Linked DNA regions of Canis lupus familiaris. The protein of the gene in region 2 purifies or fractionates together with the protein of the main gene of each other region. This does not show direct contact. Links are inferred from orthologs where the notes say so. Each region holds a gene or a part of one and is shown on either strand. Other genes may lie near its edges.

What was found.
Region 1: the proteins of RNF41 (region 2) and SOGA1 purify together in Homo sapiens (affinity purification with mass spectrometry; 3 studies listed by BioGRID and IntAct, with this or other methods). This does not show direct contact. The link is inferred for Canis lupus familiaris from reciprocal best matches to the Homo sapiens genes RNF41 and MTCL2.

The regions. Positions count from the first base shown.
Region 1 is NC_049245.1:26,124,286-26,127,930, forward strand, and holds part of SOGA1 (protein SOGA1), read right to left. Parts: intron 1,286-3,645; coding exon 1,223-1,285; intron 553-1,222; coding exon 1-552. UniProt on the Homo sapiens protein: Microtubule-associated factor that enables integration of the centrosomal and Golgi-associated microtubules on the Golgi membrane, supporting directional migration. Preferentially acts on the perinuclear microtubules accumulated around the Golgi.
Region 2 is NC_049231.1:867,103-870,747, forward strand, and holds part of RNF41 (E3 ubiquitin-protein ligase NRDP1), read right to left. Parts: coding exon 3,410-3,645; intron 2,658-3,409; coding exon 2,522-2,657; intron 2,030-2,521; coding exon 1,926-2,029; intron 1,099-1,925; coding exon 747-1,098; 3' UTR 1-746. UniProt on the Homo sapiens protein: Acts as E3 ubiquitin-protein ligase and regulates the degradation of target proteins. Polyubiquitinates MYD88. Negatively regulates MYD88-dependent production of pro-inflammatory cytokines.

The DNA.
Region 1 (3,645 bases), on a different chromosome or scaffold from region 2:
GCAGCTGTCTTCCGACAGCGTCACGTCCAGCTCGTGCTCTGAGCGGTACTTGGCCAGCTCGGTCAGCAGCAGCTTGTTCTGGTCCTCCAGCTCTGCCGAGGAGCGTCGGAGCAGCTCAGCCTCCTCCTCCACAAACTGCAAGTGTCGCCGAAGCTCCGCCAGGCTCTCGCCGCACTCACTGCCACCCAGTGTAGAGAAGGCCAGGCGCGCCTCCGCACCTCCGCAGCCACCGCCGTGATCCTTCATGTCGTCCATCTCTGCCCGCAGGCCTCGGTTTTCTACCTCCAGCTCCACGATGCGGCGGCTCAACAGGTTAGCTTCCTCCTCCACCAGCTTCAGATGTACCTTCAGCTCGGTCTCCCGAGAGTGAGGCGCATCGGCCAGCTCCTCGGCGGACAGAGCGCTGTCCAGGTCACCGTAGAGGGAGCGGTACTTGAGCAGCTCCTCTTTCATGCTGTCGTTCTCCTTGGCGAGCTTGGTGAGCTTCTTGCACATGAGGGCTGACTCCTCCTTTGCAAAGTGCAGCTGGCACTTCAGGTCTGCACTGTCCTCCTGGGGCCCGATGGGCACAGAGACAGACATGATCCAGGAAGGTTAGCATCGCGAGGCTCAGTACCAGCCACAGCATTTTGGGGAGCAATAACTATGTGCTGGGGGTAGGGCAATGAATCCAACTAGGCTCTGACTCTCAAGGAGCAGGGGAAGGAGAGAAGGATACCTCCTTGACATTGCAGCAAAGATGGAGCATAGTACAGCCTGGGAAGTCCAGGCGGGCTTTCTAGAGTAGGTGATATCCTGCCAGGCAACTGTTGCTGCTACTACGACTTCCATTCCTACTAGGGTGTCCTCATTTGTAAAACGGTGCAATAAAATCACTTCCTCATAGAGCCATAGGGAAGATTAAATGAAATAATGCACAAGAAGTGCCTAGCACCCTGACAATCCAGGGCCACTTGAGGCTAACTGTACTCTATGCCTGACCTGTGCTACATCTATATATAGCACTTTATCTGTCAGGATGGGAACCATGGGCTCCGGGCATGGTTTTGGGAAGTGAGGTGAGTATCGAAGCTAAGAAAATGAAAGAGGGTGGGGTTGAGGCTGGGGAAGAGTGGGCACCTCCAGGGACCCCCCAGACCACTTGGAGTTAGGCCTCGGCCCTTCAGATTCAAACCTGCCTGTGGGGGCTGCCCTGGGGGCCATGGGGACCGTCAGGAAATACCTGCACCGAAGGCTTCTTGTCTGTCTTCCCCAGGGAGCGGGTTCCTCTTTTCTTCAAGGAATGCTAGAAAGAAATTAAAACATACAAACAAAACAGAAAGCTCATGTGGGTGATGTGCATCATAGAGTAGTCAAGGTGCCTAGAGTTCCACTGAGGGCCCCCTCCTTGCCCAGCCTAGCCCAGCCACATCCAAGCCTTCACCAGCACCAACCAGTGAGCCAAAGGGGCCTTCTAGAACACCCAGCGGGACAGAAGCATGTGAAGAAAGGACCCTGATCACACCTGCCCAGGGTTCTCCCCCTGCCCCTGCACCCCTACATTAAGATCCAGTTGGCCTGGTCCAAGACCCAGAAATCTGGGTTTCTATTCTTCTGTGCCTTTCATTCTCTCACCAAAGACTTCCTGAGTACCTATTATGTGCCGGGTGCAACTAGGCGTAGAGAACACAGCAGTGATCAAGCCAGAGAGGGTACCCGGGGGAAGATGCTGTGCCACTCCAGCCAGATCCCCTGCCTCCTAAGAACTGGGGTGCGTGTTCCCCTAAACAAGACCTCAAAGATGAGTCCCCTCCCAGTGATGCCATTGGCTGAGGACAGCCACCTCATTCAAGGTCATGTGCCCTCCATAGGGGTGCCCACATGCAATGACTGGTCCATGCCTCCCTGCCTCAATTCAAAACAACTATAAGTAGCTTTCCCAGCTCCAGAGATCCCCACAGGATTAGCTGAGGCCACTGGTATAATTGCTCTGAAGATCCTTGGTGGCATTATTCCCAAGGGGCCTCTTCCATAAGCAGGCAAATCTTCATTTCAGGGGGAATCCTGTCCTCATAGACTTTAACTTGGAATGCATACTAATAAACAAAATGCAAAAAAAATAACTAAAATTAAAATTAAAAATGCATATGGGTAGAACACATCATAATTACACAGGAGGGACTGCTCAATTTTTCACTATTTAAATTGTAAGTTTTCATGCAAAATAACGCAATAATAATCATAATTCAGAAATCCAGAATTGATATGCAAAGAAATTGATTTTTTTTAGAAATGGATACTTTTAATTAGATAAGCAAATTATTTTTTTTTAACTTTTATTTATTTATGATAGTCACACAGAGAGAGAGAGAGAGAGGCAGAGACACAGGCAGAGGGAGAAGCAGGCTCCATGCACCGGGAGCCCGATGTGGGATTTGATCCCGGGTCTCCAGGATCGCGCCCTGGGCCAAAGGCAGGAGCTAAACCGCTGCGCCACCCAGGGATCCCTGATAAGCAAATTCTACATGAAAAAAACGTACCATAGGAAAGTAAAAGTATAAACAATACCGGGGAAAAAATTGCAGTTTATTGCACTGACAAAGGGTTAATATCCTAAATACATAAAGAGCTTCATAGGGATCCCTGGGTGGCGCAGCGGTTTGGCGCCTGCCTTTGGCCCAGGGCGCGATCCTGGAGACCCGGGATCGAGTCCCGCGTCGGGCTCCCGGTGCATGGAGCCTGCTTCTCCCTCTGCCTGTGTCTCTGCCTCTCTCTCTCTCTCTGTGACTATCATGAATAAATAAATAAAATCTTTAAAAAAAAAAAAAAAAAAGAGCTTCATAAAATAGAAAACAAAAGGCCAACAAACCTATATTAAAATGTCTTAGAGATATGAAAAACTGTTCACAGGAAAAGAAAGGTAAATGGCTTATAACCATAGGAAGATGTTCAACCCTATTCAAGATGGAGAAATGCAAATTAAAACTACACCCTGATACCATTTCTCACCTATCAGATTGGCAAAAATTCAATCATCTGACAATGCATTCTATTGCGGAAGTTATGGAGAAGCAGGAAAAGTCCTATATCACTGGGAAGAATGCAAAATGGCACAAGTCCTATGAAGGGAACTTAAGGAAAGGTTACTAATTTTTGTTAAGGTTAATCATTTTTACTAAAGTTTCTTGATGTTTAAAAAAGTCACTCAGGGCACGCCTGAGTGGCTCAGTTAGTTAAGCGATCCACTCTTGATTTCAGCTCAGGTAATGATCTCAGGGTCTGGGATCAGATCCTGCCACACCCCCTACCATGCACTTAGTGGGGAGTCTGCTTGAGATTCTCTCTCAGAAAAAAAATCCTTTTTAAATGAAAAAAAAAATAAATTTTAGAAGTCACTCAGTTAGATGCAAGAATCTGCTGAACACTCCTCCCATGAGAGGGGTGATTTATATTAGTAGTGCATAACTTAGGTTACTTTTGACTTTTCAAGCTCAACGAGTATTTTTTGAGGATGCTTCCAGGTGTTTGAATACATGCTTCCCCATCCCTCCACCTCTCACTCCCATCCCAGAAGGTGAGAACCACTGACTTAATCCAAGTCCCCACCTCGCTGAAGGTGGGAGAAATGTCCCACAGTAAATCCATAGTGACCTGGGACCAGTTCCT
Region 2 (3,645 bases):
TTCAGCAAAAGCCAGAGAGCTGCTTCTTGCTGAGCACATCCACCCCAACAGACTAATCCCCTACCCCCAACCCTGTCATTCCCTAGTTATGAAAAAATGTAGGAAAGAAGAGTCACCTAGAAATTTTCAGCATCCCAACCTGCACACCTGCAGAACCAGCAGGAGCCTACACCTGTAAGGTGGGCCGGACAGGATATTGCTTGGCACAGAGGTCCAGTCTTCCCCTAAGGGGGCCAGTTACTGGCCTCATTGCTAATTTCTAGGGTTTTTGATTCCATCCCTACCATTTCTTCAGGATGTCTGCTCCCCAGAGCTGCCCTCTCATGCTGTTTAGTGTCAACCAGCCTGCCTGCTCCGATTCCCTGGTTTTGGAGGAGGGGGAACGATTAGATATTCCTCACTCCACCCTGATCCTCTAGAGAAAATGAATTCTTTGTGCTTTCTAAAAATATCTAGAACCAGGGACCCTAGGCAGGAAAACAGATATAGAGGTGGGGACTTTCCCAAACTGACTGAAAATTTACAGACATCTTAGGGGAAGAAATCAGGCAAAAGGAAGGAATCTGGGTTTCCCACCTGAAAGGTTGAGCAAAGTGCCCTGGGCCCTTCAGTGCCAGAAGAGTAGGGAAACGTGTGGCCCATGTGTAAGCCACGGTACTATGAATAGTAGGGAGGACTCAGGGACCAGCTGCTGGAGTGATGGGTTTTCTGATTGCCATCTCTTCCTGCTAGCCCGTCGAGATCTCCTATATCTCTTCCACGCCGTGCGCAAATATCATGACAAGCCCTGGTTCCTGCACCATGTCATCACCCATGTGCTGGTTCTCACAGGCCATCACGACAACAGCCTGCTTGCCAGGGATACGCTTGGCCACGTAGTTCTCATAGTAGCGCCGGTTCATCTGTCTGGTCTCTAGGGTGGCCAGACCCTGGGGCCAGCTACGCTCGTGGGCATTTTCAATCAGCTCGTTGACAATAGAGGCAGGACAGCCACTCTCCACCAGGGAGCGCTTGATTACAGCCTGGAGTACAGCATCTGGGGTTGAGATCATCCCTCCCCAGCGGGTCACTCTGGCTGGCTGCAGGGAGTTCACCCACCTGTGTGGAGGGGATTAGAGGTGGTCATTCCAGCTCATTCCCCTTCTCTGCATTGGCTTTTTCTCCTGCTCTGCGCTCAGCTCAACCCTGACCTTCCATTTTCCTTTTTCCATCACTGGTTCAGAAACTCCACATCTTTCTAGCTGGTCCCCTAGGAGTCCCAACATGTCACTCAGCAGATTAAACTCTACAAGTGAAGAGTTCCTGTCATCTTTCTTAGAAACCCCAATACATAGAACATACGTGCCTGGCATGTACTAAGTGCTCAGTAAATGTTTATCGGATGAAGCAATTATTCCTGTATACTGTGTCCCACACAGCACCATTTGCATTATATAATATACTGATTCACACTAAGAATTTAGTCTGTGAATCGTACACAACCCCAGCACTGAAACAGATTTTAGACTTTGCTTGTTTATGCTGCATTTTAGATCACTCTCCTGGATTTGCACTCACTCACTCCTCTGGGTTGTAAGCTACCTGACAATAAGGACAGTATTTCCTTCTTCTTGGCCCTCCCAGCACTCCACAGCCTTTTTTTTCCCCACAGCCTTTAACATGGCTTTGTACGTGTGCATACTCACTTAAGTCCAGATGAATTGAATCCTTGGGTAAGCTTTCCCTTCAATCCACCCAAAAGAATTTAAGATCCTATAGTGGTGCTGAAAGTTCTCTTCCTGTCCTTCATCCCAATTATCTGAAACGCCGTGGCCCCAGCCCAGCCCTCTTACTACCCTCCTTCTGCCACTCCCCGGCTCTTCCTCCTTTCAGGGCTCAGTGCCAGGACGTGGAGCAAGTGACTCCATGTCCTGAGTGACACTCACTCTAGGATCTCATTGTATTCAATGGTCTCCTCCAGGTTCTGAAGGTTGGGGTTGACACTGCGGATTGCACGCATGTATGCCTTTAACAGCTGGATATCTCGCTTCTGTGGGTGGGAAGGAGAATCAGAGAGGACGGTTAGGGTAGACAACAAATGGAAGACGAAAGTGTGTCTTAGAATGAGGACAGCTGAGAGATGCGAGGAACAACCAGACCTGTAAGCTTTACAAAGACAGGGATGGGACTGTCTCATTCCTAGTGTAACCCGAGTGCTTGGCGGGGACCTTCTTAGAGGGGGCATTTAATAAATGTTAGGTGAATGAGTAACATTGACGGGATGGAGAAGGAGAAGAGCTCCCATCCGATTCCCAACCAAGCCACAGGCGGAGCATCTGTTCACACAGACACACGAGCACAGGCACAGACCCACCTGCTCACACGGGTGCTTCTTACCCCGTCATCTGCACACACACGTGGCATGTACACACACACACACACACACACACACACACACACACACACACACACACACACACACAGTTGTCCACAGTTACCTGCACATGAGAGGCAGGTTCTCTCAATGATCTCTGGGCCCTACCTGCTCCGCCAGCTGGTGCTTGTGCTCAGCTGAGGTCTTCTCCAGCTCAGCGATGCGTGTCTGCTGCTGCTGTACCACGGAGCGCAGGTGCTTAATGCAGTTGTGGTTTGGCAGCTCATCTTTGGGCATCTCCAGGCTGCCACCCGGAGTGGGGAGGAAAGCAGAACAGGGGCATTCAATGGGTCACGTGGGCGAAGGCAGGAGATGCCGACAGGCTTTTCTCCTAGCCCAGGTGTCTAACATTCAGGCCTCCCTCTTATTTATTCCCTTCACTTCCTTCTCCCCAGCAGCCCCGCCCGTGCCCCCGCCCCCCATGCTCCTTTGCTCTCTACCTTCTCTGGGCCTCTTGCACTTTCTAAGAGTGTTTTATCTGCCACACAGCTCTCCTTTCTTCCTACAGATTCTGCCTATGTACCCATTCCTTCTGAGCAGCCCTAGATTCACAGCCCTAGCTAGACAGCAGCATTTAATCAAATATTTCACAGTCCAAAGAAAGAAAATAACAAGGCGCAAGGAACTATGAGAAGCCTCGAAATTAGAGCAGTCATAGTGACAAAGAAAAAGGAGTACTGGGCTGACGGGGAAGAACAGAGGGAGTCATCCCTTAGTTCTAGCACGCAGATTGGGACCTGCTTCCTCCTCTCTTTCATTCAAACAAGAGCAAAAAGATCCTAGTTGAAAAAGCATCACCGAAGTCAGATCTTAGGGCGGGGAGCCAGGGAGGCCAAGGACGCTCATTGCATACATTCACGCTCGGAGAGCTCCCGAGCTGGTGAGCAGGGGCTCTGGAGATGGGGGACTGGGGACAGGGAGTGTGGGTGCGGGAAGGGTGGTCATCAACCAGAAGGCCCTCATCTGTGCAGGGCAGAGGAAGGGAAGTAATCTCACCCGCAGCCCTGCTCACAGGTCACAGGCCGTTTGGGGTTGTGCTCACAGTCGCTGAGGTGAGACATGAGGTTGTCAAGCCGGACAACAGCACTACAGCCAAACACAGCGTTGTCGCAGGCAATCTGCAGCTTTGACAACATGTTCCGCATGATCCGAGGTACTGGGCGCAAGTGGGCGACCGTCACAACGCTCCGGTCCACTGGACACGTCTGCTGCTGCGAGAACCACTGGGTGAT